3 linked regions of the Notamacropus eugenii genome follow. The protein of the gene in region 3 purifies or fractionates together with the protein of the main gene of each other region. This does not show direct contact. Links are inferred from orthologs where the notes say so. Each region holds a gene or a part of one and is shown on either strand. Other genes may lie near its edges.

What was found.
Region 1: the proteins of HNRNPU (region 3) and HNRNPA3 fractionate together in Homo sapiens (co-fractionation; 3 studies listed by BioGRID, with this or other methods). This does not show direct contact. The link is inferred for Notamacropus eugenii from reciprocal best matches to the Homo sapiens genes HNRNPU and HNRNPA3.
Region 2: the proteins of HNRNPU (region 3) and DAP3 purify together in Homo sapiens (affinity purification with mass spectrometry; 3 studies listed by BioGRID and IntAct, with this or other methods). This does not show direct contact. The link is inferred for Notamacropus eugenii from reciprocal best matches to the Homo sapiens genes HNRNPU and DAP3.

Annotation. Positions count from the first base shown.
Region 1 is NC_092876.1:240,104,586-240,111,832, reverse strand, and holds the start of HNRNPA3 (heterogeneous nuclear ribonucleoprotein A3), read right to left. Parts: upstream 3,001-7,247; 5' UTR 2,823-3,000; coding exon 2,751-2,822; intron 395-2,750; coding exon 272-394; intron 171-271; coding exon 24-170; intron 1-23. UniProt on the Homo sapiens protein: Plays a role in cytoplasmic trafficking of RNA. Binds to the cis-acting response element, A2RE. May be involved in pre-mRNA splicing.
Region 2 is NC_092873.1:379,741,268-379,748,361, reverse strand, and holds the start of DAP3 (small ribosomal subunit protein mS29), read right to left. Parts: upstream 3,001-7,094; 5' UTR 2,878-3,000; exon of another isoform or gene 2,875-2,877; intron 2,398-2,874; exon of another isoform or gene 2,274-2,397; intron 2,096-2,273; exon of another isoform or gene 1,886-2,095; intron 1,725-1,885; exon of another isoform or gene 1,321-1,724; intron 1-1,320. UniProt on the Homo sapiens protein: As a component of the mitochondrial small ribosomal subunit, it plays a role in the translation of mitochondrial mRNAs. Involved in mediating interferon-gamma-induced cell death. Displays GTPase activity in vitro.
Region 3 is NC_092873.1:406,028,353-406,035,331, forward strand, and holds the start of HNRNPU (heterogeneous nuclear ribonucleoprotein U), read right to left. Parts: upstream 3,020-6,979; 5' UTR 2,787-3,019; coding exon 2,057-2,786; intron 965-2,056; coding exon 853-964; intron 771-852; coding exon 697-770; intron 1-696. UniProt on the Homo sapiens protein: DNA- and RNA-binding protein involved in several cellular processes such as nuclear chromatin organization, telomere-length regulation, transcription, mRNA alternative splicing and stability, Xist-mediated transcriptional silencing and mitotic cell progression.

The DNA of each region.
Region 1 (7,247 bases), on a different chromosome or scaffold from region 3:
CAACATATTAATCATAGGCATACCTCTCTAGAAACAGCTCTCTTTGGTTCCACTACACGCCCATCAACCTTATGTGGCCGAGCACACATTGCTGCATCTACCTCTTCTACACAAGAGTAAGTCACAAAGCCAAAGCCTCTGGAACGTTTTGTTTGGGGATCTCTCATCACCTAATAAAGCACATTTACATGTTACAATTTGTTACCCTAGACTATATAAGCAACTTTTTTTAACCCTCTTATATATATTTGTTTAAATTTCAACAACTTACCACACAATCTGTGAGAGTGCCCCATTTTTCAAAGTGTTCTCTTAAACTATCATCCGTAGTTTCAAAGCTCAAGCCACCAATAAACAGTTTTCTCAACTGCTCTGGTTCCTTTGGATCATGACCCTTAGAAAAATAAACAAATTTAGCAGTTCATAATTCTCACTTATCCTCATCAAATTTTTTGGATATTAGATCTTTTTCCTCACTTATCCTCATCAAATTTTTTGGATATTAGATCTTTAGAGGAACTATTACTACCACTAGTGAAGCAGGAAGTAGCAAAATAAGCTAGTGAATTTCTTAACAATTTCTTTCAGTACAGTTAAAGCAGTGTATAGTTACATGTTAGGAAACAAAGACTTGTGCAGTTTTTCCAGGTGATTTATTTTGTTAGGTGACAATTGGATAAGAATGGATGCTACAGAGTTGTATCTGAGATACTATGTGAATTATAGGAACCCTACAGCCTGCTTTTCAAATGTTAGCCTAGAATTATCACTTTTCTTCATCTGAAATCACATTTTGGACAAGGAAAACAAAAAGACTTCAGGGATAAATGAAAATCTAACCACAGACTTCCATTCACTTAACAAGTGTCTAGAAATACTTGCTACTAGGCCAAGTACAGGAAAGCATCTGGAACACTAATACAGCAAGGCCTTATTCTAGTCTCTCATCATTCTCTTCCTGAGTAGTGGAATCAGCAGCAGTTGTGAAAAAAATCATACTTTTCCCCAGATTCTACTGCTTTAAGAAAATTTCACACTACTGAAATGTGAACATATTTTATATAACAATTATAAGACATGATGTTTTGGAGAACATTCTGATTCGGTGACTTTGTACTTATAAACTGTCCAAATTCTACTTTTTAAATTCTGTACACTTTCAGGAAATTAGAGTCTTTGATAATTTTTTTCAATCTTTCAGCACAAAGTTAAATATTTGCTTCAGATAAACACTTCAGTTAATTGTAGTGTAATCTAAGTTCTAAACTGGCATTGCATGACCTTACAATTGCCCTCAGTTGTACCAGAGTCCTTTTTTTGTAACGTTTCCCTCCAAAAAACTCAATACATGGATGGGACCTATGTTAAAAAAAAAAAAAAATGCCACAATAGCGTTTTAAAAGTCACTTCCCAAATCCAGGAGCTGAATAAACGAATTTTATTTCCTAATGATGGCCAAATCAACACCCTAATAATCTGTCATTAACTAAAAGGTCCAAATTTTTTAAAGAGCAAAACTGTTATTGTAAGAAAACTAGCATTATCTTCACTTAAAAGAGAAATAAAGGCTTAAAATTCAATTGCCTTTTCATAATTGCATAACATCCAAAGCCTTGGACAATATAAAACGACTAAAAACTTTCGATTTTAAGTTTGATGTAGCCTATTCTCTCAATTTCAGTTACACGCAGTTTATTGAAGGGAAGTTAACCAAAATCGGCCGTGGGAGATTTAACGAGGGTTTCTGACACGCCAAGCCTTTCCCTGCAGACACCACACCACGATCCATCTTCCGTAGTCCTCCCCTTTCCTCCCATCTCACTGTTAAGTTACAGGGGGAAGTTTCCTTCGTCTACAAAAGTGGCTCGTCAATAGGTATCAGTCACACTTTCGTTACTTTTGGGGTCATAAAGATACTTTATGGGTAAACTAGAGGTGAAAAGCAGTTCCACTCCCCGCGCGGCCAGGACATCGGAGGAGAAAGGGGCAGGGAGCCGAAGGAAGCACGGTCCTCAGGCCCAGAAGCGTGGTGGCGGAGCCGCTGCGATGGCAGAAAGCAGCAAGCCTTTCGATTCCTTGCAGCAGCGCCTCCCCTCGCCGCCTCCTCTCCCCTTCCCCCTCCCTCCTCCCGCTCCCGCCAGCGCCCTCCCCGCCCCCAGCCCAGCCCAATCCCGCGCTCTCGCTAGGCAGCAGCAGCGGCGAAGCGGCGGCCATTGCGGGCCAATGCGCCATTTCACAGAGCCGAGGATCGATGTCAATGTGGCGGCGGCCGCCGCCCGCCCGCTCTCCCGGATGTGGTTGCCCGCCCCCTCCCTCCTTCCCCAGCCCCGCTCGGCTCTCCCCTCCCCCACCGTCTCTCCCCAACCGCTCGCTCGCTCTCTCCCTCCCTCCCGCCCGCCCGCCTGCCATGCCGCACTCCGCCTAAAATCAGGAGCCATCGCGGCCAGGCCCGCTCCGCCCCCGGACGGCGCCCCCACCGAGCCGCGGCTTTGCGGGGCAGCCTTCGAGGCGGAGGGAGGCGGGAGGCGGCTCAGGAGACAGGGGGGAGGAGGAGGCCGAGGAGGCGGCGGCGGGGGCCGAGGGCCCGACGGCTCCACCGCGGCCCGCTGCCTTCCCCTCCCCCCCCACCGCCGCCTCAGCGCAGAGCGCGGGACCGACCGACCGACCGAGCCCCCTCTGTACTCCCCCCGCCAAAGCCGGGGCACCCGCGCCGGCCACAGCCCAGCAACCCCCCGCTCTCCCCCTAATACCTCCTCCCCCCGGCGACGGCGACGGCGGCCGGAGTCGGGCTGGGGGCGGCCGGGCGGCTGTTTTACCTCCATTTTGAGACCGGACTCGCCGCCTCCAACTCGGGTTCAATATGGGACCGAGAGGAAGAGGCGGGGCCGGCCGTCACGTGACGCACTTTCCGCGCGCCGCCGGCGGCTGGTGGGAAGGCGGACGTGAGGGGGAGGGGCCGGGCGTGGGCGCTGAGGGAAACTGAGAGCGAGACGGACTGGGGGAAGTGGGGGTGGGGCGGAAGGCTCCGCGCTGGTCGAGGTAGCGCGCGCCGCCGCCCCTCTCTGTTCCCCCCCTTTCCAGGGAGCGCGCCTTCCATCCTCAGTCGTCTTCCTTTTTCCTCTTCCCTCTCCCGCATAGGCCTTCGGGACTAGAGCCTTTCCCGCCCTTTGCGCCCGGCTGGTAGAATGGAGGTGGAGCTCTGGCCTTCCTTTGGTGCTAGATCCGTGTGCAAAGAAACCGGCCTGCTCGACCGCTCCGTCTGGCCACCCTCGCCCCCTCCCGCCAGATCCCTCTGCGGATCCCTCGTTGGGTGGATTGTTAAAGCGGCTAATGAAAATCCTCCCCGTCTCCCCCCGCGCCGCTGCGCGCAGACCCAGGGGAAGGCTTTCTTTCCTGTTGCCTACGTTAGGAAGGTCTGGATGCAATTCACTCGAATACTGTCACTCAGCCTTTACTCTCCTTCCAAAGAATTCACGAGTTATTTTAATTTTTTTTTTTTTACAAATCAAGTACAGGCAGGGCCAATCAGCTTGTAACGAACGTCTGCAGATGTCCGAGAATCTGCCGTGCTGACGGTGAAAGCGCTGTTTCCTGGTGTACTTCAGAATTAAGTGTAGTGGCACAGCGCTCCGTCTACCATCTTGGGACAGGCCGGAGTGGTGCACACTCCGTGTGGTGACAGCCCGGAGGAGGCTTCCTTGTCCGAGCCGCTTTGGAGGGCCAAGGAGCGCTAGCCGCGGGAGGATTCCCAGCCAGGGTCCTTTGTAACAACGGCGATACAATTAGGTTTTTGTAGTCCTGCGTGGTTTTGTTTCACGCATTTAAAAGCGTTCAGAGAAGGCACGCAAGGTTTCGTCAGCACACAAAAGAGCCCCAGGTGCCCCAGGCCCCAGCGCAGCGCTCGGCCCGGAGTGCTGACCGTTGTACGCATGTGCGGGCGGATGGCCGGCGGGGGGCTTGCTGTCCTGAGGCTGTGGATGGCCGGTGAATGGGGCTGCTCACTAAGTGAGGCGGCCGGCTGCATTACACCGGAGAACTTTTGTTGGGCTGTTTCCGGACGTGCTTGACTTTCCGGGGCTCCATCTGGGGCTTCCTTTGCAGAGATGCCGGGGTGGTTGCCATTTCCTCCAGCTGAGGAAACTGAGGCACACAGGGGAAAGGGATTTGCCCGGAGTCTTCCCAGCCCAGGCCTGGCACCCCGGCACTCCTAGCAGCGGGCACCGCACCTAGCCACTCGGGGACACCGGGAGCGCTCACCTCCCAGGAGGGCTTGAGAGGCCGGCGGGGATAACCCAAGACCGTCTGGAATCTTTAAAGCGTGTGTACGTGTAGGCTGTTGTTACACAGGCCAGTTTACCGCTCACAAGCTTGTCCGCAGTCAGATAAACTGGCCCGGGTGCTGAGCTTCAGGGGTGCTGGGGGCCCCCAAACACTGACCCGCCGGGTCCTGCGCCAGTGAGCCAAAGAAGGACAAAGTTTACTAAAGATGGCCGTACTGGGCTGACTCCTAGGGAGCCTGGCCACTGGTGACGCTTGTGTTCACAAGCGGCCGGAGAGGGTCTCAGCCAGGCAGGGTCTGAGCGCCTTCATGGAGGCGAGGTGGAACTAAACACAGAAAAGACTGAGGGAAGCCTCCGGGCGTCACCAGGTAGTCTGGGGTCCTAGCCATGGGCTTGATGGGGCGCTAGGGGAATGTCCCCTGGCACCCTGGGGTGAATACAGGTGGACTAGGAGGATCCTGATGGGAGTGGCTGGTAATGGGATCAAAGGGTGGAGAACCAAAAGAGCGCTAAATAGGAGATGGGGAGTCTCGGACCTAAGAGAAATGCGGGGGGACTCCAAGGAGCCCCCTCTCCGCCAGGCCAGGCTTTCCAGGGCCCTTCAGACAAATGTGACCATAGGTCTCCCGATCCAAAGGGAAAAGGGCTTGGCTGGGGCTCGTACCCCTCAACAGGGACATGACCCGCTCAGTCTTCCAGGGAGACTCTAGGACTCCATGGTTAAAACTGGATAGCCTGTATTCTGCTGGCATAAATTTGGAGAACCCAGAGGCCCCTCCATGATGAGACTAGAGTTAGGACCCTTGTGGAGGATTGCAGATAGACAAATAGACAGAGGAAGCATTTCTATTAAGGGCTAAAACGGTGCCAGTTACTGAGATAAATTCTAGAAATACAAAGAGAAGAAAACAAGATGATCCCTCCTCTCAAGGGCCTGACCTTCTAACGATGGAGAACAAAACTCAAAGTCCTGGAAAGGGTGGAGGAGGGGGAGGAGAAAGAAGAGGAAGGGTCCATGCCAGGGCAAGGCTGCTGGTGAGGAGGCAGACCAGTCTGGACATCGAACTGAACCAGGAGGCAGGGGATCATGGCTGGGCTCCTCACTCTACTGTTGTAAAACATGAATCACCTCTATTTTCAAGTTTTAATAAACATGATTGGAGTACCATGATGTATGAGCATAGCTTGAGTAGGTGATAAAGTTCTCAATTGACATGGGACATGTTATGTAGGGTTTTAAGTTGGGGCAGCTAGGCTGTGAAGCAGATAGAGTGCCTGGCCTGAAGTCAGGAAGACTCATCTTCCTGAGTTCACATGTGACCTTATACACTTGATAGCTGTGTGACCCTGGGCAAGTCACTCAATCCTTTTTGTCTGTTTCCTCATGTTTAAAATGAACTGGAGAAGGAACTGGCAAACCACCTTACTGTCCTTGCCAAGAGAACCCCAGGTGGGGTCGTGAAAACTTGTACATGACTTAACAGAATTTTAAAGTCAGCGGAGTTGCATTTGATTTGAGTTCAGTGTGACCCAGGGCAAGTCATTTAACCTTTTTCAGCTCTTAGTTTCTTCATTTATAAAAGGCAGACTTATGTGATGATCCAATCCCTAGAGATTACTCTGATTGTCAAGAGGGAGAGGCCAGGGCTCTGATCTGGGGTACTTGTTCAGTCATTTATATCTCATCCAATATTCTTAATCAGTCACAATCAAAAGCTCACTCAGGTAATAAAGACTCTCTTAATAAACTCTCCCTGTGATAAGTACTTTGCATACTTTACAGCATTACATAAATGAATTATTTCTCATTATTTGCTTTTAGTCTCCCCTGGAACTTATAGCCCAGCAGGAGGTCTTTTAAAACTCCGATTTGCCCTACCTCTCAACTTATAAAACCAGTGAACCAAGAAGCGTAATCACAGTTTTGGTTTTTAGAGATCATCTAGTTGAATCCCTTAAATGGTGCCAGAATCCCTTTGCTGTGTTCAAGACAAATGTTCATCCAGCCTCATGTTGAACACTTCCCTTGTCCAGAAATTTGCTACTTCACAAGGCAGATCATTGGATATTTTTCTGCTACAAAGTTCTTAGTGTCCTCTGGGTTTACCTTACATACTGGGTGCTTAATTAAATGCTTATTTACTGATTGACTAGAACAGAGTAAAGCGGAATTATTTTGTCTTTATTTCTTTTTTTAATATACCTTTCTTAATACACCCTAAAATCACATTATCTCTTGAGGTTATAAAAGTAAGCTGTAGACTAAAAGTGAGCCTTTAGTCCATTAAAACCTCTATCTTTTCCCCCATCCTGGACTTCTGAATTTGATTTTTTGAAGCTGAGTTGAAGACTTCATGTTTGCCTCTGTTCAGTTTGATCTTATTACATTCAGCCTGGTATTCAAGCCTGTGAAACTTTTTTTTAAACCTCTGTTCTGTCAATCAATATATTAACTATCCCTCCCAAAATTTTATCAACCAATGATTCCAATTTGATAAATCATTTATCCAAGTCACTGATAAAAATAATAGGTAGCATAGGGCCAGACCCAGATCTCTGAAGATGGTCTTCCAAACTGATGTTGAACTATTAAGGACAATTCATTCATTTTGTCCTTTTCACTAGTTTCAGATTCACCAAATTGTACTGTCTAGCCCACAGATGATAACACATGTAAGTCATAAAAATCCTGTGTGAGGCCATCCTAGCACCATCATCAGCCACATTATTATAATTTAAAATGTAGTTGAGAAATATTTTTAAAATAAAAATGCAATAAAACATGTTAATATGTGGTTTTTTAAATCAATATGTGGACTGTAGTTTAATGGCCCCAGTTTATATTTGAGCTCAGCATCACTGTTCTGTCTCATGACTGTATTAGGAAGGAATGGCTCTCCTCTCTAGAAATACACAAAGAGTTATTTGGGTAGTAGAAATGCAAAGATAATGAACAGAGCCCCAAAG
Region 2 (7,094 bases), about 26 Mb from region 3:
TATTCCCATTTTACAGATGGGGAAACTTAGTTCTCAAAGGTTAAGTACCTTGCCCAGAGTCACACAGCTAATAAGTGTCTGAGGCTGTACTTGAATTCAGGTCTTCCTGGTTCCAGGTCTAGTGTTCCATTCCCTGAGACACCTAGCTGCTGGTATCCAAGACATAAAAGCAACTCGATTCTAATTCACCAGACGTTAATAAGCAATTGTTTAGTGCAAGGCGCTGCGCTAGGGACTAAACAAAGACACAGAGAAAAGGAAAGTTCCTGCCCACCTAGAGATTACATTCATTTAAAGGGAGAGAGTGTCTGTCGAATTCTATCAAGTTTCCCTCCTTTCCCACCTCTAATTATGTATTCATAAAGGTCAAGTTCCAAGTTTAAGCCCCACTGCCTATTTGTCTCCAGGTTTGAAATCCCTCTTCTTTCCTTAAGGCACTTTTTGACCCCACCTCCCTCAGAAAGTGGTACCTCACTTCTCAAATTTCCTTTCCCCTTACAAAGTCTACACATTTTTTTTAAAAAAATAAGAAAACGGGAATTTGGGAAACATTTTTCCAGAATAGGCCCAATCTACCAAGTTTCTCAGGTGTGAGGTAGCCATTTTGTCAAATTATTCTACCTCTCTGGAAAGTCAAAGGACTATCAGCTGGTTACATATAAACAAACTTTAAATCTGGAAAAGGAAATGAACAGAAATTGTTGAGGACTATAGCCCTAATTTTATAGAATTAGATGGTCTATAACAGAAACAGTAAATTTTCTAAGTTTTTGGAAAAGACACTATGTTGGTTTTTTTTAAGTTTTATTTCATTTTTGAGGTAGTGTGTTACAGAGCAAAGGCTGGATTTGGAATCAGTAAGGAAAGACCTAGTGGTTAATGTTCGCCTCCCACACTTAAGCTGTGTGACAAGGAGTCACCTTAGGTCTTCAGCTCTCCTACTCGTAGGTATGATGGGAATACCGACAGTACCCATCTCCTCAAAGCGATGTAGGGAAAGAGCTTCGTAAATATCACAAGGCAATACAATCATCAGTAGTTACTATCTTTACATTCAAAGCTCAGAGCACGGGGCTAGCTCTTTATTAAAGCGCTTGTTGAACCAATAAGGGGAACACAAAGACAACAACTACACCCACAAATGATGTTAACAGAGGTAATACTACAAACAACCCCACAATGCTTACTTAAAGCCTATGAAAAGTCAGTGTGATCATATTAGTGGGTAGGAAGTTCAGCTCATTTAACCTACTTATTTTACAGATGAGGAAACTGAGGCCCAGAGAGAGAGAAGTAACCTCCTTAAGGTCACATACTTACGAAGTGGCTCTGCCTCCAGGAACCTTTCTACTACACCACGAGTTCTCACTCAAGTTTAAGAACACGGGTGCCACACACGCCACCCCCCGAAGGCAGATATGGGGCAGTTTTCCCGCCCACTTCTGCCCTAAGGAGGTACAAACAGAACCCGCAGGTCACTCGAGGGGGGGCCCGCCGCTGGAGCCCAGTCAGAACTGCTGCCCTCTCTGGCCGGCTTGTCCCGAGCCTCCCTCCCCCGCGCGCCTTTCCCCGAAATCACGAGTTGGGGGAGAGGCTGCACAGGGGCTGCAGACGTAACCAGAAACCCGAGGCTCCGTATATTCCGATTCCCCCGCCCAAAGCTCCGGGGCCGCGTCCCTAGCCCCTAGGCGCGGATCGAACACGCCACGGCCACGGGAACGCCTAGGCGCTTTCCCGCACCCGCCTCCCCTCGCGGCGCGGCGCCCTCCGTCGCGCCGCGCGCACGTCGGGGTCGGCTTCCGTTTCAACGCGCACCCAAGCCCTAAGCCCGGCCCTGGCCGGCCCCCTCGGGCTCAGCTCCCTGGCCCCAGCCCGAGTCACTCACCCGCGATCCCAGAGACAGCCAGGCTCGAGCCCTACTGCAGGAAGCTGCTCAGCGCGCAGCCGCCGCTGCCTCCAACCGCCCGCAGGCTAAGGGGGCGCGAGGACGTCCCTCGCTGGCTCACCAGGGCCCAGAAGGGCGTGTGATCAGGGTGACTACAGATGGCGCGACGGGGTTAAACTTTCTCTCCCTTCTTCCGGGTTGAGGACGTAGGTACGTGTTCCTTCGCGCCTCCCAAATTTTGTAGAACTGAGCCGAGGACAAATTCCTCCTGCTCTTCCCAGCCCCCTTTACCTACGCCCCTGCAGCCGACGGGAATGGAATAGTCCCGCTGTGGGGATTGTGGGAGGCGCACGCGCTGGGGGGAGGGGGAAAAGGAGGAGGAGGAGGAGGAGGAGGAGGAGGAGGAGGAGGAGGTGGAGGCGGCGGCCGCGGCGGTTGGTGGTGGTGGGGGCGGGGTGGGGGGAGGCTAGAAGAAGAGGCGGAGGCGGCGGCTACTGCTAGCACCGCCTGAGGTAAGCGTGTGGGTCCGCGCCAGAGCCGGCTTGACAGGGGAAAACGAGGAGTGGGGGACGCGCGAGAAGAAGTCCCTGAGCAAGCGAAGCGCGTGTGGGCAGGAGCGCGGGGCGACGGAAGCTAGTGGTTGGTGGGGAGCTGGTGAGCTAGGCAGAGCCGCGGGCGCGCGCGCGCTCGTCCGTCGGCCGGAGTTGGGCGGGGGGAGGAGCGGGGAAGGACGTGGGGGGAGAGCGCGAGGAGGGAGGAGTGGGAGGTGGGGGGGCGCGAGGCGCCCTTCGCTCCCTCCCTCCATCCCTCCCTCCCGAGGAGCTGCCGCCGCTGCCTCTCTGCCGCCGCCGCTCCCGCCGCCATTTTGGGTTCGTTTTGCAGAGGGGGAGACGATCCCCCTTCTCGGTTGCGGGCCCCGCCTCCCCTAAGCCTTCCCCCCCTGCCCCAGTCCGTTCCCCTCTCCCCCTTTTCCTTCCCGCCAGTCTGCTCACCCGCCTGCCGCCGCCTGACAAGCGGGAGGGATCCGCCGCGGACCCAGGGAAGCGGAGGAACCCCAAGGCGGCCGCCTACCCTCCCCAACTCTTTGCCCTCTCCTCATCTCATTCGTCCCCGGTCTCTGACACGGTGAGTGGAAGCCAGCCTGGGAGGCCTCCGAGCCTGCAGGCTACCCTCCCAGCGGCCAGGCCTCGGCCTCGGGGGAGCCACCGTCATCCCGGGTCCTGGACCTCTGGGAGAGGGTTGGCAGGGATGGGGGAGGGGAGGGGATCCTAGGCCGACCGGGAAGTCCCGCCGGGAGGGGGTCAAGGGGTGTTCCTGACAGGCCGGTTCCTGGGGGGGAGGGAAAGAGAGGGAGGGAGGAGAAGGAAGGGAGGGAGTAGAGGCGGAGTCGGGCGGATGTCCCTGACAGGTTGGTCTCAGTGCATTGGCATGATTGGGGGGATCCCTGAGACAGACTGGCCTGTGTCCGTTTAGGGAATGGAGTATCCTGGACGAGATTGGTGAGGGCGATGGGGGGTGGGGGCCGTGGAATTTTTGACAGAGGGATGTTCTGTGGTCCTTGTGTGAGGAATAAGGATGGGCTGGCCTACGTACACAATATTAGGTTTAGAGACTACGACTGGCTGGTCTGCGTGTTTGGAGATGTTAGGGATGACTTAGGAGACTCCTTTGGGGCTATGGACAGGTGATATTTATGTAAGTGCTGCAGGTACATTATCAGAATGGGAACCCTCTTCATGGCACATGTGTTTAATCGGGAATGGGGGTTCCAGAATTATCTGTATGTATTAGGGGTGCTGGGATTCTCAAAATAGATTGGTGTATATATTTAATAGCAGTTGGGATCTCCTTGACAGGTTGGTGTGGTAGGGATGAAAGATATTTCCTACTTACCAACCAGTTGATTATAGTTGAAGGAGGAATGAAAATATCTGATTAGTTTTTGTTTATGGAAGAGGTTCTTGGGATGATGAATTTTCCTTTTAGGACTAATATATACCCTTACATCATGGATAGATGTAATGAATATTTTTGATAGACTAGCCTGTAAGGGAAAATGGTAACTTGTGTGCTGACTTGGGTACATAGAATTCAGTTCAGTTGAAATACTTTTAAATTTGAATCATATTTATGCATGTTTTATGTCTAACTTTTCTTTTTCCTGGAAACAATCTGGTAAAGTAGGTAGGTTCTGCCCTTATTTTACAAATGAATATATTGAGTACTAAAAAGGGTTTAACTAAAGGCTTTCTGGCCACTCAGCAAGTTAGTTCTTGCTTTTCCAACACCTCATTTCTTGATTCCTATTTTGCTCCTCATACAAATGGGATAGTGGACCCTTATCAATATGATTTAATTTTACATAGGAAAAAAGTTAGAGTTATTTAGCTTGTATCTGAGAGCGTTCAAGAATATCTGTGATGTTACATGAATGTTAAAGGAATATAGGTTGTTTTTGTAAGACTGATCCATAAGTATTTAGAGAAAGCTATATGCTGTTTACCAAATTACTTTATGTTAATGGAGGAGGTGGTCAGGTTGTTTGTATGTATTTGAGTGAGGGAAATCCCTTACATTTTGGTCTGTGGACTGACCCAGACTGTGCTTTGTGTTGATGGGAAGAGGTATCATTGTTAGCTGGCCTATGATTATGGGAAGTGTGATTGGGTAAACCTGATGGAATAGGTTGTATTCATACTGCAAAATTACCTTGAGAGGAGGAAGTTGATCTACCATACAAAGTAGCCTGTGTAGAAATGAGACTAAGAAACTTTTTCCTTCAAAGTTTGTTCAGTATACCTGGAGAAAATTAATATCTTTAAGCCAAGAGGGCATAATAAGGATCTAGGAGAATTTCTTTAACAGAGTGAGTATGTGATACCAAATGTTTGTATGGTCCATGTGTATTGGGTTTAGGAGCCACTATCTAAACTGTGTTTAGGAGGTGGGCATTACCATTTTTAATACACCTAGGAGTTGGTACACTATATTTTCTAACAGGTGAGTGTGTACAATGCAAGCCCTCCCATAACTAAGTATAGAGGAGATTTCCTGAGCTGATGGGAAGTGCTTGTGGGAAGATGGGTGGTTTCTTGATTGGTTTGACCCTGACTTATATTTCATACATATATACATATTTTATATATATATATATGCAAGTATATATATATATATATACACATGAAATCTAAATTAACAAATGCAATGCCACCAAAACTTTTGTATAACACAAATGATATTCAAATGTTAAAAGGCAGCCTATGTACAGTGGAGAATATTTGTAACAAAGTTACATCCTCCCATCCTCAAGTCCTTATTACTTAATTGTTGTAGGGTTTGATGTATATGCTCAGGTGTTTTCTGTGCTTGTATTTAGAATGAGAGCAGATAAAGTAAGAGAAGATGGTGGTGTGATGTTTCTAAAAAGGTCAGAAGATTCTGTGACAATATTAGGGAGTTTTGATAGGACTGGTTAGGACTTGTTGAATCACATTTTATAAACTTGTCTTGTATTATGTGACCTTGGAAACAAGTGATATGGTAATTGTTTACCTGTGTCTGGCCTTGTTTTTACCTTGTTCCTTTTGGGGCAGCATGGCGGTGCAGTGGATAGGGCACCAGTGCAGGACTCAGGAGGACCTGAGGTCAAATCTCCCCTTAGACACTTGACACTCACTAGCTGTGTGATGTTGGGCAAGCCACTTAACCCCAACTGCCTCATCCTGGGTCATCTCCAGTCATCCTGATGAATATGTGGTCACTGGATTCAGATGGCTCTGAAGGAGAAGTGAGGCTGGTGACCTGCACAGCCCTCCCTCACTCAAAACAAAGTCAAGTGCAAGTCATGTCATCATTTCTCTGATGGCATGGTCTTCTTCGGCAATGAAGGATGAACACACCTTGTTCCTTTTAATTTTCTTTCTTTTTTTAAAAATTCATTTTATTTATTTTCAGTGTTCTACAATCACTGACATATAACTTAAATTATTATTATTCCCTCCCTCCCTCTTCCCCCTTCCCTGCCTGAGATGGCATACAATTTTATATAGGTTCTACACATATATTCCCATGAAATACATTTTCACTATAGTCATGCTGTGTGGAAGAAGTAAAATAAATGGGAGAAATCATATAACAAACCAAAACATAATACACACACACACACACACACACACACACACACAAAATGAAGTGCTACATTCTGCAATTGAATTCCATAGTTCTTTCTCTGGATGTGGAAGGCATTTTGCCTTAGAAGACCAATTGAGAATCTTTTTAAGTCCTTGCATTGCTACGAAAAACTCTTGCACACTGGTTTTTGCTATACACAAAGTTGTCCTGGTTCTGCTCCTTTTGCTCAGCATCAGATCATATAAGTCTTTCCAGGCCTCTCTGAAGTGTTCCTGTTCATCATTTCTTATAGCGCAATAGTATTCCATTACATTCATATACTATAATTTATTCAGCCATTCCCCAATTGATGGGCATCCCCTTGATTTCAAGTTTTTGGCCGCCATAAAGAGTGCTGCTACAAATGTTTTTGTACCTGTGAGACCTTTTCCCATTTTTGTGATCTCTTGGGGATATGTTCCTTTTAATTTTCAATGATTCCTCCCTCCTATCTCTCTATAGTGCTTCAGGTGAAAATGAGTAATTCTCATTCTTTGAATCTATTATGTGGATAATTTCAGGATTTGAAACCAGGAATTGTAAATGATTGTATGAATCTTTTAGAGGCTTTTAGTAGAAGAAGCTGGAAGTGAAATCATAATCCTGGAAGTTGTATATTCACAATATTCCCAGTTGCCTTTCCTTATTGTCTATAAAGTTTTTAGGTTGTACAAATAATTTTGTAGCTAAAAATGTTTTGGTAGCATCTGATGTTTTTGGTTAAATGTACCATCTGTTTTAAAACTGGTATAAACATTGGTGAGGGAGCACTTGTTAGTCCTATAAAAATTTTGATTGTCATGCTAAGTCCTTTTTCTCTAGGGAAGTCTATGTTATAGGTCTTAATGTCCTTTTGGATTTATATACCTATAGGAAACCCTTCATGTATCTCTGGGGTGAAATGTAGCAGCTGCTTGACAGCTGTACTGATTATCCATGAATTTGGAACAGGAAGTGTTAAAAAAACAACCACCACATTTTTTTATTTAAGGTGATAAATTCAGAAAGATATTGTAATAGCACAAATGACAGGTTTGGG
Region 3 (6,979 bases):
ATTCGCTGCTGAAGAAAGCTAGTGGCCCAGAGATAGCCACTGCTGCTGCCCCAGGTCTTTGGAAGACACCAACTTATGTTAAAGCAGCAGCTACTGAACTGCAATTGAGAACAAAACAGCAGTTATTGAGAACATAATGTTACAGTTTAAATGTTAGAAAAAGGGAATATACTTGTGAACTAAAGGGAAAGTCATTAGTAAAGACAAATCTGGTAACTCCCAGTACCAAAAACTTCGAACAATGGGAAGTTCTAAATTCACTTAATGAAATTTTAAAAGTTTACAATAAATACTAGTCCCAATAAGGTCAATTACTAACTTCCCACCACTAATACTTATTACATTTTCTTACAAAACTCAAAAGACAACATGAGAATATATTTATAAATTACCTTTTCTATTCAAGAGTTAATCACCTAAATATTCCATACTTCAAGGGGGAAAAAAGCACCAAGTTGCTACAGGGTTGCCAAAGCAGAACATATGACTAAATTTTAAAATACCATTTTGTTTATACCTTACCTAGTCATTTCCATGAGGATTGTGGTAACCTTTATTTCAAAAGACTGGCATACAAGTTATTAATCAGATTATTTCTACACTTGCACAAGCTATTTTTCATAAATGCAAATTTCCTAAACATACTAGATTTTTGGTCCTATGCAAAATTAAGGAGATTGGAAGATATGCACTTACAAGTATCAAGACAAACCACTGTGTCATCAAAGTGTTCATCTTCCTCTTCAACCGGTGGCTGAGGAGATTTAGCTCTGAAAAAGAGAATTTGCCCCTGATGTAGCTTTCTTATTTGTGATTCATTGTGTAGTGAAATGATCAGATAAACTTCCCTACCTGCTGTACTTGTTTTCTTCAATGTACTCAAAATAGCCCCGGCCATGATCTTCACGAGGTCTTTTAACACCTCTCTTTTTGTCTCCACCTTTCTGCTCTGTTTTGCCATCTCCTACAAAGGTTAGGACATCTTTTTAAATTAAAAAAAAAAAGACGAACAAAAAAAAAAAAAACCCCCGCTGACCCGAAAACGAAGCCTATTCCACTTGCAACCTGCAAAGCTTAAAAAGCTTGCTATGTTAACCTGCCATTTTTTCCCGGTTTCAATAATCCTTTAATTGGCCAACCATTTACTATCCGAGGAAGAAGGAGGGCTAAGAAAGGAGTGCAGTTCGTGACGCAGCCCCGAGATAGCCCCGATCTCCTAGGCTGCTCGACGATTCCTGCGAGCGCCACATAGAATAGCGCGGAATAAGCAGAGCCCACGTGTATCCCAATGAGAGCAGAGCACGAAGGAGGAGGAGGGGCTCCGAGCCTTTTCCTCTCCCTTCCCTCCCCTCCCCCCACTCCGGCTGGGCCCGCGCTCCCCGCGGCCGCATTGTACGGATCGTCGTTCTAACTCTCCCCCGATTCCACCCCACCCCTACCCCCTCCCCGCCGGGACCGCCAACCGGAAGTGACGTCACGTCAGAGCCCCTGCACTCCTTGCACAATACGGTGGCAACGTGAGAGCTCGAGCCGCCACCGCGCGCCCGCCCCGGGACCTCGATCTCCAGCCCCCCCTCCCATCGTCCTCCCTTCTCCCTCCCCTCCCCCCAGTGCGGAGACATGTGCCCGCACCGCGCGCACGCAGCAGCGCCGAGCACGGGGGGGCCCTCTCCCGCCGCCAGCGGCCGCTCCTCCCCCTCCAGCGGCAGCTGCAGCTCCCCCTGGCTCTCGAGCCAGATAATGGTGGCGCCGCCGTCACACGCGCGCACACACATACACACACGCACACACACAGCCCGACACCTCACGGCTAATCTGGGATTCCCCCGCAACCGCCCCCCCATTTTCCCCTCCCCCATCCACGACTCCGGCCACTGGGAAAAGCAGCGACGCCCCCGCCCTTTCTTCGCCTTTCCCAAGCCCCCAGCCCCCTCTCGGGGGGGGACGGGTGGAGGCCCTGGGGCACGGTCCCCACCCCACCCCGGGCCCGCGGTTCTCCCCCGCTCCCGCCCCCCCACACTCCCAGCCACACACACATTCAGAAAACGCCACTCACCCGCCGCCGGAGCCCCGGGGCGGCCGCCGCCTCCGCCGCCTTCCGCCTTCTTCTTGCCTCCCGCCTGCTGCTGGGCCTGCCTGGCCGCCGAGGGAGGCGCCACCGTCACGGCGAAGAGCGAGGTGGGGCCGCCGCTCTTGCCCGCGGCCTCCTTGGCCGCCCCGCGCTGCTGCGGAGGCTGCTGGGGCTGCGGCGTGGCCGGCGGTTGGGACTGCTGCTCCCCGTGCCCGTTCTCGTCTCCCGCGCCCGCGTCCTCTTCCTCGTCCCCGAGTTCGTCCTCCCCTTCCTGGAAGCCCTGGTCGTCGCCGTTTTCGTCTTCCGAGGAGCCGCCCGCCTCCTCCTCCTCCATCGGGCCCGAATCGGCCGCCCCCGCGGCCCCGTTTTCTTCCCCTAGCTCCATCTGGTCGCCATCCAGGGCCGCGATCCCCTCCTCCTCCTCCTCTTCCTCCTCCTCCTCTTCCTCGTCGGCCGCGGTCGCGGCCTCCTGCTCGAGGCCTGCTCCCGAGGGCTGCGTGTGCGAGCGCCCGGCGGAATCCCCGCCCAGGTCCAGGCTGCCGTTCCCGGGCTCCAAGGTGGGGCGGCCTCCGGAGGCCTCCTCGTCGTCTAGCGCGGCCTGGAGCCGTTCCATGAGCTCGGCCTTGAGGCCCTTGTCAGAGAGGCGCCGCTTCTTGAGCTCCTCCTTCAGCTCCGACACCTTCAGCTTCTTCACGTTCACTGGCGAGGAACTCATCGTGAGGGCCCCAATTCACCGCTCGGCGCTGACTGCGACTCGGCTCCGCTCACACGGCCACTGGCGGCGGCTGCTGCGGCTGCTCCTCGGCCCCGGGCGGCGGCTGCGGCTGCGGCTGGAGTGGGGTTCGTGCTGCAGAGCGGACCCGCCTGGAGTCGAACGGCGCCAATTCCTTTCACCGAGTTCGCGAGGGAGACGCGGAGACTCGCCCGGCGCGAGCGAGCACGCAACGTCCTCTCGTCGGGGCGGCGTCGCGCACGTAATATACCCGCCCCTCCTCCTCCTCCCCTACGGTAGTTGCTGCGCAGTGGAAAAGCCCGCGCGGCGCGCTGCAGGCCCCCTCCTGCCTCCTTACCGTAGTTATCCCCCACACTACCTTTCGGGAGCGGAGCGCCAAAGGCCAGGGTGCCCTTCCCAGCGGCACCAGGCAAATGGAGGCCTGCGGAGTGCCCGGAAAGCAGCCCCTGCCCTTCCCCCCTGCCCGTGGCCTTTTCCTAGCCGAACTTCATGCATCGGTACTTTTCCTATTTTCTTCCCGTGCATCCTGCCTGTCACGAGCCACTGTACGTTTTGGGTTCGTGCCTAAATCATTTCTCCCGGTCCTTCCGGCCTAGGGCTGCCGTGGGACTTGCAGTGCCTTGTTTTTACTGAAGGGAGCCCCTCCGGGGCGGCCCGGGATCCTGCCCGCTCCAGTGTGTCTGACCTTGGAAGGTGTCTTGGCCATCACGCGGCGCAGGCCTCTGCTTAGCTGGCGTGCAGCTCCCATCTGGGGCGTTAGGCCTGGCCCGATCCCCTCTGGTTCTGCTTCTGGTCCGGTCGCAAGCTCCCTGCCCTGCCCTGCCCCTGGGAGACACAGTGCTTGTGGAGCTGCAGAGGGAGCCTGGCTTCCGGCATGAGGTCAGCCCCAGAACTGGACGATGGCTGGCCTTTTCGGGGTTTCTTGCCTGACGGGCCCCTAACACTGGCCTGTTGTACTCGGCGAACAGGCCCTAAATCCGTTCTCTGCGGATTAGGTGCTCTGTGAAGGCCGTCGGGCCGTGGCTTTTGTCCTGGAGGCTGGACCGTCCTAGTTCACAGACCCCTGCAGCAGGCCCGGCCTGCCCCTTCTTAAGAACCCAGGCGGAAGGCCCTTTGCCCTCCCCACCGTGAGCTTTCAGAACCAGCTGGCCGCTTCCCAGGCAGGTTTCATCACTGAACTCTGAATTTACGCCGTGTGCACCCTCCCTCCCTCCTGCAGATCGCAGCCCACCGTACCCTGTGTCCCTGATGCACTTCCCGCAGTCTCTGCCCACTCTCCTGGAGGAAGGCCTCCAGGCCTTTAACAGCCTCCGTTGGTGGGGCCCACCTCCTTTTAAAAAACATCCATTGCCTTGGGGATGGTCTGCAGCGCTTCTTGCCCTGCTGCTGGTGCCCATGGCCCGGCTCTCCTTTACCCTTTGGGGTCACCTGCAGCTTTGATTCTTTGGAAGCGCTTGTTCACAGGGAAATGGAAAGAGAAATAAAATATTGACCATTTGTGAAATGGCCTGAGCTTCATCAAGGTCACATTGTCTGAGTTACACGTGGAGAGGAACAGCCTGGATAATAAAAGCCCAAAGACATTTTTTTGAAACTCATTTTAGCCATTAATTTGCCTTTCTTTAATGGTTGCTAATAAGTGGTAAAACGGGAGTAGGAGCTCTTTTTGTTGTTGCGCTGCCTCTGATGGGGATCCTAGAAATAAGAGCAATGGAAGTAGAAAAAGGTCCCCACCTGAATAATCAGCCCTTGGAAAATCCAGATTTGGTTTGGAATACTTAGAACTGTCCTTAAATGTTATTCATGGTCTTAATATTGTTCAAAATAAAACAGTTCCTTACTATGTACTTGGAAAATATAAATTTAAAGCTTATATGCCTAACACATTAAATGCTTAACTGGAAAAACACTTAAAAATACAAATATTTCTTCAAAATGTGCATTGATAAGTGCTTAAAGACTAGAAATATTGAGGGAAAGAGGGCTTGTAAATATTCAAAGCATGAATATCTTTAAAGATTCCTTTTAATTAAGGAATCAGGGATGGAAATCATTCCTATAATCTATTTTGATTTTTGATCTGTGCTATACTATTTTTATGTATGTGTGTATACATATATATACATATACATATATGTACACATTTGCTTCTTTTTTTTCCAGCGGAAAGCAAAACAAATTCTTACTGCTACTTTTAATAGTACTGATGCTTCTGTGTATTATGGTCTTTGTGTGGAAGGAAACTGAGATTTAGTGAGAACAGTAGAGTTAAGTCAGAAGACCAGGTTTCTAAATCATAACGCTGCCATATCCTATGACTGACCTAGGCCAAGTCACTTTACCTTCAAATCTTGTTTCCTTGCCCATATAGTGAAGGTAATAACATCTACATTATCTTAGATAAACAAGATGAGCTACATATGTATGTATGTATGTATGTGTATATATGTATATATATAATATGTATGCATTTGACACATATACACACAAATTGGATTTAAGCTTATGCAAAATACAGATATTAAAGATAATATTTAAGAGTACGTGTACATATGTATATATGTGTGTCTATGTATACATTTATACCTCACACTTTTTAAGTACAATTCCTTCACTTTGCAGATAAGGAAACTGAGCCCATCACTCTTAACAGGTTTTTTAAAAAGTTAGGGCAATTCTGAGTCTCTTACCCCCTTGAGGTGCTAAGGTTAAGTGTCTTGCCCAAGGTTATACAGGTATTAAGTGTTGGAGACTGGATATAAGGAAACCTATTCCGACTACATTTTCTGGAAGACCTATTGTGTGGTAAAAGCAAAAGCTCAAATAAGTAAGAAGGGATGCAAAAAAAACTAGAATTGCCTACTCACTGAGATTCTAAAGCCTTTCAGAGACTTATGGGGGGGGGGGGCAGGGAAAGCAACTTAAAATTAAGTAATCAATAAGGAAATATTATTAGCATCACTTACAAGTGATATCTCTATAACAGATTATTAAAAAGAGCTGTTGTGAATCCCTTGCTAACCTGAGGTCAGTGCTAAGAAGACAATTATGTTTTCCCATTTGAATGCCTCTCATGCCAATATCAGAACGCAACACTGGATAGATGCAGCCATGGCATGTATCTCTTAAGTTCATTCAGTCTTTGTCCTTCCAGTGTAATACGGTATCACACATTATTTTAGCCAAATACCAGCAACTAACAATAAGAAATAAATTGAAACTATCCATCTCCAGTATTCACAATATGCTTCACCACAGACATAGGAAATTATGATTATCTTAAAGATAGCATGATTTCCAAGTTAATGTTTTAATATAACCCAAATCAAATGTGGTAGATTTTTAAAAACCTGGAATTGTACAGGGAAGTTTCAGCATGGCAATGTATTTGTGACTCAGTTTTACATAGTTGCCTAAAGCGTTAGGAGGTTAAGTGATTTGCCCTCAGTCTCACAGGCAAAGGTAGGATTTGAGCCAAGGTCTTTCTAATGGCCAAAATCAACCCTCTTTAGTTACTATACCATACTGTTTCATGAACCAGACATATAAGGAATTTTAAAAAGGAAATGTAAACTATTCAAGCAAAAAATCCTGACTATATTATATACAGAAATCATTTGTAAACCATTGTTAGTAGAACCCGAAGACTGTTACATGCAAATTAAAATAATTGTTATTCTTTTTCAAATTATTTTCTATAGAAACTCACTTCAAAAACCTCAACAACCATGACAAACGTAACTGCTCTGTCCACCATGGCATTCTGGGCTTCGATGCTATAGATCTGGGCTTTTTAAACTTCATAAAATGCCTTAATTTACATGAAACATGTATAGCACGATGGCTTACAAGTTTTAATATAAATGACACCTTTTTGAAAACACTTTAGTCTAATGGATGGTGTCAGGCTTTGATTCTCTCTTTCTATAATTAGGTTCAACTAGGTAAATTCTGTCTCTTTGGGAAAAGATGAAGTAGTATTAGTTTTTAACTGATTTACATGGTAAGCCGTTAATGTTACCATTTAATTTAAATTCAAGTAAATCTACCTGATTCTTAAAAGAGCATTTTAGTCAGTGATACTTCAAAAAATATTATAGATAACCTAGGATATCAAAGTACCTCTTCTACCTAAAAAAAATGCCCACCAGGAAAAAGCTGATAATATTCACCTG